Linked DNA regions of Drosophila melanogaster. The protein of the gene in region 1 interacts with the protein of each later gene in a pairwise test. Each region holds a gene or a part of one and is shown on either strand. Other genes may lie near its edges.

The links.
Region 2: the proteins of fd19B (region 1) and CG12391 interact in a two-hybrid assay, tested with the Drosophila melanogaster proteins (one large-scale study listed by BioGRID).

Annotation. Positions count from the first base shown.
Region 1 is NC_004354.4:20,090,491-20,094,456, forward strand, and holds fd19B (forkhead domain 19B), read right to left. Parts: upstream 1,919-3,966; 5' UTR 1,896-1,918; coding exon 1,113-1,895; 3' UTR 938-1,112; downstream 1-937. Other genes in the region: Or19b (odorant receptor 19b), read left to right, coding at 3,908-3,966.
Region 2 is NT_033778.4:11,146,518-11,152,223, forward strand, and holds CG12391 (uncharacterized protein), read right to left. Parts: upstream 3,552-5,706; 5' UTR 3,261-3,551; coding exon 3,084-3,260; intron 2,995-3,083; coding exon 1,408-2,994; 3' UTR 1,085-1,407; downstream 1-1,084. Other genes in the region: CG13231 (uncharacterized protein), read left to right, coding at 1-286.

The DNA of each region.
Region 1 (3,966 bases):
TTGTTTGCGCGGCGAGAAGTTTCAAAGTCATTTGGCATTCAATTGCGCACTCACTCTGTTGTTGTTCGTGCGGCCAAATGAATTTAATGTAAAACCTCTCGCGTGGCCAAAAAAGTTGAATGTTTGCGCAACTATGGCCCCCTATCAAAGTCCCCATCCCCATCCCCATCCCCATCCCTATCCACATCCGCAGCCGTAGCCGCATCCAAGTACACCCACTGCCCGATTCACTTACTTAACAGGTGTGACAGCGGCAACAACGAGTCGGCTGCTGTCACTCGAACAAGTAAAGCCAAGTGAATAACTGTGACGATGACAAGGACGAAAGCAGGACACGTTTTAGCAGATAAATGCCAGGCACTTAAGTCATTTACAGCCGGCATTTGGATGTGGTATCCAACGTGGCGATGCAGCTTCAACCGACAGTTTTCAACAGTTGAAAACTTCCCGGAATAGCGGCTAGTTGGGATCCTCGAGACCAGCTGGGAAGTCCTTTATTTAAATTGTGTTGAAATATTCAAGTGTTTTCAGGGATGCAATTAAAAACCAAAAAAAAAAAGCAGTTGTAGCATGTACCTGCTGTAACAATACATGGGCTTTGCGGTTGGTTAGGGTTTCACGTAGTGACGAAACGCACATGAATATCACAAAACAAAAACTAGCATATGGACTTTGCTGGAATTAAATCAATATTCGTACAAATCGGTTTTAAGTCCAATATAAATGCAAAATTATTGTCTTCAGAAAATGCCCTATTTTATTTAAGAAAAAAGAACAAAGTTCTTCGGATATTAAGTTTTATTTTTCAATGGCAGTTAATATTAATTCAATTTTTAAATAAGCAAAATATATAAATCACTAAACCAAAATACAATAAAAATTTCGCACTATTCTTCGAATGTCGAATCATCTTTATTTGAAAACAACCTAAAGTTTTGTATGAGAATGCACGTAACGTTTACTACGATATATTTTAAAGCCTGGGCATAGTTTCTATGGATATTACCCTACATGATTTAAAGCTAAAAACATTGCCGCGTTCTACGCCAAGAAGGAATTTTCACAGTTCGTAGTCTTTGAGTGAGTTTTCACGCCTCTAAGACTGCTGAAATTCACTCTTGGTGAAGATGGTAGCGGGTATGATGATATGGCTCCTGGATATGAAGGGGCTTTGATTGCTGAATGAAATGAGAATGAGGATGCTGATGCTGATGCTGATGCTGGTGATGGTGAGGATGTGGCATCATCTGGTATCTGTGCATCATGGCCTGGTAGTGCTGCACCATGGCGGCATGGTGTTGATGGTCCATTATGGGGAAGTAGGCGCTGTGTGCCTTGATATATGGGCCGTTACCGTGCCCGTGCCCATAATATGGCATTCGCTGATAGGGATGACCTGTGACCTTGGGTCTCGCCCCCGTATTCTGCTGCCAATTGCTGCGGCGCAGGCGTCCCGTCGTCTCGCCAATGGACAGATCCTCGGCATACGGATCGAGTGCCCAGTAGTGGCCACGTCCAGGATCATCGAGAGCTCGCGGCACCCGAACGAAGAACGGATTGAGACTCAGGTTGTGCCGGATCGAGTTCTGCCAGACGCTCTTGCGGGTGCGATAGTACGGGAAGTTGTCCGCGATCCACTTGCAGATCCCGCTTAGGGTCAAACGCTTCTCGGAGCTGCTCCAGATGGCCATCACTATGAGGGCGCTGTAGGTGAAAGCCGGCTTTGCATTGCTCTTTGCAGCCATCGAATCCGAGCTGGAGTTGGAACTGGAGCTCGAGCATGAGCTGAAGCTGCTTCCTGAGTTGTGCTTCGAAATGGGGGACTCCTCCTTTTTGTCCACGGAGAGCAGCGATCGGATGGAGAAGCTGGACTGGAAGATTGGTGTCGTATCCATCGTAATAATATTGCAATATGTGTCACTGTTTGAGTTCGTAAAACGACTGTGACCAGTCCACCGGCCGCCGATCTATTTATACGAGAGGAAGAGGCTGAACTCGAGGATTACCCGTGTATCCTGGGACGCGGATTAGCGATCCATTCCCCTTTTAATCGCCGCGCAAACAGATTCATGAAAGCCTTCGGATTCATTCATTGATCCACATCTACGGGAACGGGAGTCGCAAACGTTTTCGGATTAGCGCTGGACTAGCGGTTTCTAAATTGGATTATTTCTACCTGACCCTGGAGCCATCGTCCTCGTCCTCCGTCCCTTAGCGCCTCCTGCATGGATGTCGTTTTTGGGTTTCATACCTTTTCACACTGGAAAAATACGGAATTTGTTGTAAGCCCTTTCAAGACGAATGGGATTTAGCTTCGGATGTCAACGTCACCATAATCATATTAGGAATATTTCTACTCAATTGCAATATTGGTACTTTTCTGACTGTAAACGCGATGATAATTACAAATATGCCTAATTTGCTGTCTTTATAATCAAATGGAGTTCTTTATATTTCCAAAATATTGAAATTCCGATTCCCTAGAAAATAATACGTTTTTCTGTTATTAATAAAAAACCAATAGGAAAGTTCTCAAAAATTACTCTGTTGTATTTGATCATTTCTTTTCCGGTATAATCTTTTATTTTAAGCATTCCCATGTGAATAAATTTCAGACTAATGTATTAATAAGATGTCGTGTTTTTCCACTTACAAATTTCTCATACAGCTGGATATATACTACGAGTACTATACACATGCTCTGGGTATCGTTATTTTAGAGAGACTACTAACCATTTATATCTTGATTAAAATGTATTTCAATTCTCTTCAAAACTGTATACTACTGTATAAAAAAATGGGAGTAAAAGTGGAATAACATCTTACATGCCAAAATTCAAAAACCAAGATATGTAATGAAGCCATATTCGAAATAAATGATATTATATATTATAGATATAATTTGTCAAAAATTCTAAAATCAAATGTTATTCAAACGGGAAAATTGTTATGAATTGTTCCGAAATTTTATGTTTAAACAAGAGAGAATGCTATGGTCGAGTTACCCGACTATCAGATACCAGTTACTCAGTTAGGGGGAATGGGAATAGATATTGGGGAATAGAATGAGAAAAATTGTTTCAAATTATTCAAAAGTAGGTGTAAGGAATGGCGTAACCAATGTGTTTTTGGTATGGCGGTAGAAATTTACAAAATAAACAATAAAACGAAGAAAAATCTACACATCTTTCAAAAGTGTGAGCGTGGCAGTAGTGGGCGGATGGTGGGCGTGCCGAAAAGTTGTTTGGCAAATCGATAAAATCTATAGAACTAACAAAAATGTAAAAGAACATCTTCTATAGTTCCTGAGATCGAGACGTTCATACGAAATGACCGACGGATGGACCAAATCGCCAGCTCGACACGGCTATTGATCCGGATCAAGAATGTATATACTTTATATCGAGTATACCCTTTTACTCTTCGAGTAACGAGTATAAAAATGTTTCACTTCCTTTGTCGCGTCTCGCAGCCGCCAGAATTTTGAAGACACAGTTCAACTATGCGCCACCGCAGCTATGCAGCCTTATCTTCGTTAACTAAGCTATCTCCCATCGCAGCGATTTGCCAAACAACTATTTGCCACGCCCACAAATCGGCCAAACCTTTCACGCCGTTGAACACAACGCTTTAGATAAAATAACGCTTTAAAAAAAAAATTTAAACAAAAGTGTGGGAATAATTATAAAAACCTTTTCATTTACCAGAAAGCTAAGTGGCGCTAATGATGATAAGGAGGAGATTGATTTGCGAAAAATGATTGTCATTGTAATTGCTGGTGGTGGTTCAAAATCGAACTTTTTCGGTGTAATTTGCAGCAATTTGCATAATTTGCGGCATAGGTGGCTTATTGGATGAATATAAAAAGGTCGGAACGCGGAGAGCTGCTTCAAAGAGGCGAACAACCATGGACATATCGAAGGTGGATTCAACGAGGGCTCTGGTTAACCACTGGCGCATCTTCAG
Region 2 (5,706 bases), on another chromosome or scaffold:
GCTGCTCATCGCCAGTTTGGCCTGCATCCTGGCCGCACCTGCTCCCGCCGCCGAGGAGCAGCAGGAGGAGTCCTCTGTCAAGGCAAAGCGCGGCATATCATTGGGGCTCGGCTACCATGCCCCCTTGGTCACCCACTCGCACTACATAGCTGCACCCACGCTGGTGCATCATGCCCCAATCATATCGCATGCCCCACTCATCGCCCATGCCCCGCTGATTGCCCACCATCCGGTGTCTTCGGTGTCCTATCACCTGCCCACCTACCACTCCATCCACCACTTCTAATTAGGCACGCACACGGAGCGGCGGATCAATTAGACACCTTTGTAGTGCAGCAGCATTGCCGAAACATTCGCACGTGCATCAGATTTCCTGCCCAAACAATTCCCGATTGCTATGTAAATAAATGTTAAAGTCAAACGTGTGTCTTCAATTCAATTTAAAGAGTTTTAAATTTAGCCCTAAAAACTCACTGCAATCACAACAAAACTTCCCACAGAAACCCAAAAGAAAAGCTTAACAATTTTGCATAAATTACGGCTTACAAATTAGGCTTACACAAATAACTTAGTTTATTGGCTTACAGTTTAAAATTATAACTAAAACGTTGCAACTCAGTTCGTTTTCCTTCCGGCCATGAGTAAAACTTTCTTGGAAAAGTGCAAATTTTGTGGTCCAAATTAGTTGCTTGAAGTACTACAGCATTTTTCTTACCAAACCTTTCTGAAATACCTGATAAGAATTGTACACGGATCTGAAAGTTGTGAGTAACCACACTTAGTGCTCCGCTTATGCACATATATGCTGCAAGTCTACACTAAAGACCCCCAGCTTGGGTCCAAAGTAATCCCCAGTAGTTAAACACTCCTAGTTATGCTCCACAAGCGAAATTATAAACATTAGAACGCCACATTATGGCCAAGATTGTGCAGAACTGCAGTTGGTTGTTCTTTAGCTCGGCGGCACTAAGTGCTGCCATTTGGCGAGCAAACGCTTTGGGATCCAATTAAAAGGGGTTCAAAAGGAAAGCATTGTGGGTCACTGAGGAGCAGCGCACTCCATGTAAGTTACGACGCACTTATTCCAAACATAGTGTTTATTTTAACAGCGAATCTTATATGTTTGAAGTATTTATAATCTAATGGTGTCCTTAGGAACAAATGAAAATCTTAGCGTCTAAGTCAATATTTTCCAATCTGCCATTAATCGAACTTTTTATTTTGCCTTTTCGCTTACTTACTTAGCTTGAGAAGTTTACATGTACTCAAAACTTCCACTAGTGTTATTTTGTATTTATTACAAATGTGATTTATTTGCACTGAATTCTTCCTACAGCTAGAGAAACTTAAAATCGTTCATTAGAAATTATTGAATTGAAATCCGCAAGCCGCCGCACCTTGGTTTTTTTAGTCCGAGAAGCTATCGCTCCAATAGGTGGTTGTTGGTGGGGCCACAGCCTTGAAAAGATCCCGTCCTTCGCCGGGACGGCGTTTGCTGCTGTTGTTGCCATGATGGCGGTCGTCCTTGCTGCGCGACTCCTGCTTGAACCGCGACTGCTCCTCCTTGATGCGAACGCTATCCTCCTTGTGCCGCTGACAACCGACGGCCTGGTGACGCTGCAGTCGCTGCTGGGTGAGGAACGTCCGCTGGCAGCGCTTGCACTCGTAAATGAAGCCATGCTCGTCGTGTCGCTGGGCCATATGGTGCTTCAGTTCCGCGCGCAGTCGGAATATCTTGGGGCACAGCTCGCAGCGGAAATGGGCGCGCTCCTGCTCGTGCCGTTGCATGTGCGTTTTATAGGCCCACTCCACCTTGAACTTCTTGCCGCAGATGGGACAGGCATGCTCTATTCTCTCGTGAGTCTTACGATGCAGCACATAGGATTGTTTGCGCGAGAACGTCAAGTCGCAGTTGGGACACTCGAATGGGCCCACTGAAGCCGTCGAAGAGGGCTGGTATTTCTTCTTTTGGGCGCTGGAAGGCTCCCCATCGCTGTCCGTGCCTCTCTTGAGTGGCTTTTTTCGAGGACGCCCACGTGGTCCGGGCTTCTTTTTCTCCTTCTCACTGTCATCCGAATCGGCAGAATCGCTGTCGGCACTCGTGGTTCCGGCTACATCGGATACCTTGAACTCATCATCGAGCTCATCCTCATCCTCACTGGAATCGGTGACAGGTGCGTCTATGACCACATAGCCGCGGGGTCTTCGCACTTTATTCTTGCTTCGGGACAAACGCTTGCGCAGCTCCTGGTCCGTGGTCTCCAGCTGCTTTCTCAGCTGTATGGCAATGGTAAGGCTGCCCATGCACTTGGTGCATATGAATTGCGGCATAAAGTCCTTGGGCAAAATCGAGACATTAGGACAGATGACCAGCAGCATGTCCGCGGGCGTGGCATCGATTTGCTTCTTAAACAGGCAGACTAGCTCTTCCTTGCTGGTGCAAACGCGGCACTGGTCTTCGTCCACGGGTTCCTCTTTCTTGCGCTCCCTAATGGGCACATCGGCCAGATCGCCCGGCTCATCGCCAGTGATTAGTTCACCTTCTGCATCGGTGCCAGTCTCGAAATCTGGTTCAATTTCCTCGACTTCTTCGTTGGGATCCTCATCTTCATCGAGAGCGTCCTCATCTTCTTCAATGGCCTCGTCGCCTTCTTCGGTGCCATCCTCATCTTCTGGCTTCTCTACATCGTCTTCATCCTCTGCGTCGGCCTCGTCGCCATCCTTTTCGGCATCATCGTTGTTATCTTCATGTAAATGAGTTGCCTTCTTCTCCTTGTCGGTGTCTTTTTCACCATCCTCTCCACTTTTTTCCTTGGAAAAATCATCTTTAGCTGCAGATTCTTGCAAATCCTTCTTATTGCTTGATTCCTGGCAACCTTCATTGGCTTTCTCCGTTTGCGGAGTCTCGCTCTCATCCTCCTGCGGCATCTCGCCATCCAGATACTCTGCCTCGCCCATCTCCGCGTCCTGGTCGGCAGTTGCACCGGCATCGTCCTATAATATAAATAAAAATAAACAAACATATATATATATATATGTATGAGTTTCACAAGCTTTTCCAAGTCTTTTAAAGCCGGGCGCACCTCGAGGTAATCCATAATCTGTCCCACAGTTCCGGAGACGCCATCATCAGCGGAACCCACCGACTTGCCCGCCAAATCCTGCCGCGGTTGCGGTTGCTCTTGGTTTTGAGCACTTTCCTGGGGATTTTGGCGCTGCTCTCCGTTGGTTTCCGCCAGGGGCGTTATGTCGGCTTCCATTTTCGCAGTATTTTCCTTATTTCCGCAGAGAAATGTTTTCAAGTGGAGTGGGGGAGTCTTCTTTTTTTTGGCGGGGCACCGGCGACTTTTTCGATATTCACTTTTTCGCTTCGATTTCTTGGCGCGCACTTGATTTTCGGATAGTGTTCCACTTTCGTTTGCACAAATTCACATTTCTCGCACTTTTCTATCTAATACTCAAGCGGAAAATGCAATTCAAATTGCAGTTTTTTCACAGCGTTACAATTTTTTTTACTTGCAGCCATATTGGATAAGTATAGGTACACAGCTGTTTGTCATCGGTAATCGATAGTTGTGCGCATGCCCACTGGCAATCGATAACGTGCGCAGGGTTGCACAGCGGGCGCGTAATTTGAAAAGTAAAGGAAATTCGTTATTTAAAGAATGCTCGCAAATAACATAATTCAGCAGCCCAAAACGAAAGCTTAAAACAATAAAACCGAAATAAAGTTTAGGAGAAGGCGCAAAGTGTCAGTAATACATGCACCTTCTGTCTGCAAAAGGGAAACCTACGCGCGTGTTTGCAATAAAAGTGGGCACAATACATAGGCCACCCCCCTTAAAAGCAGCCGTTTGAAACAAAAAGCATGTCGTCTTGACTTTTCAACACGGCGAAATAAAAATTACGTGATTTGCATAATTTTTCACCCGCTGCTGTGCGCATTAATTTGAGTAATGCCTCTTACATGAACCAGCATCAACCATGCAACACTTTGTTTTTCCTTTTGCCACAACACTTAATCTGGCTTTTAGAATTCCATGCCTTAAATGTTGGCAAATACCCCGTATTACTTGAGTTTACATTCTTCAATTTCAATCAATTCCCAGTACAAGAAATGCAAATAAGCAAACAAATTTCAATAAAGTGGCTCTTCAAAAATATTCCACCGCTCTGAAGGGAACACTACAGAAAAATATTTATTTCAATTACGTCCTGTGGCCGCAAAGAGAAATGTCCGCGGAAATGCCCGAACTTTGCGAAGGACACAATCCATTAGCGCAGACACTACACTGCGAGAAAATGTTGCAGTAACTTGAAATACTTCTATCAAATAGATCAAGTGATAAGTTGAGTAATCAATCAAGTGATAAGTTGAGTAATTAAAACGTAATAAGTTAATGACAAATTTCGGACTAATGAAATCTTTCTGTCTGTCCTTTACTTATTTCTTTGTTTTAGAGCATCTTTTTGGCTGTATTATTATTATTTTTTCGCTTGCTTTAATTTCAGATCCAACAATAAGAATTTTATTCTATAGTTACTTTTTAAAGTTGATCGAAATCACTCTTTTAATGTGAAGTACCCTCGGGCTAAAGATAAAAGTGTGAGTATGACACATTGATTTCTTCGTGTACAATATGCCCACAAGGATAGTATGTGTCTGTCTGGGACGTAATTCTGTTGCTCTTCGACATGATTTACGCCAACAATTATCGCAGCAAGACGTGCTCCGAGATCTACTTGACATTAACATCGTTTTACCGGCTAGAGCTTTTCACCTCCTGGTCGCCTTCACGTCCACCCACTCGCAGGGAATCGCTTATGTTGCCGGATGTTGCAAGGACAGGGACGCGAAGGCGACTCCTAGAAAAGAGATAAATTTAGCGGCCAGGAGACTGTGGCAGTGATAAAAAAGCATGGCCATGTCAGCACAACACAATTCAACTCCCGGCGGCGTCACTCAGTGATTAATTATGCACAAAAGACAAACAGGCAGCATATGCTCCTTGGGAAGGCTTAAGCCTATATATATGTACATACATATATATTATATGTATTCCTGAACCCGTCGAGGATTTGAATGGATTTCAACCTACCCACTGGCGTTCACGTGCGCACATTAAAGGGCACATCAAAAACATATAATAGAATACATTCTAATTGTGGTGATAATTAGAACGAACTCATATTATAAGCATTTAATTATCTATTGAGTGTTTTTCAGCAGCCACATTCCTTTCACCTGTTACACGACAATTACGAAAAGATGCCGCCAGCACAACCAATGTTCAGTTACATAATATAATGGCAATCACTCCGCGGAAAAAAAGCCTATTTTAATTATCATTTTATATTAACTATCAGTCTAATTAATCTTATTTCATATTCAAAAAATTAAACATTGACATTGCATGTTTGTACAAATAACTATCTTTTACCCACGGGAATGAGTTCTAACGAGATTTATTTTATATTTTAGATGAGATTTATTTTACCACTTGATGTTTTGCACAACTTAATTTAATGAGTTGCACCCACCCCATCTTTAATTTTCACCCGGATGCTTTTCAACCAGATGCTTTTAATTTTCCATTTAAACTCATAACCTGAATTAAGTGCTCGAATAGTTAAGGAAATTAAAATACGTCGGTTATTTAGTGCAAATATTAGGCTACACTTCAATTTGCATCCAAACGAAAACGA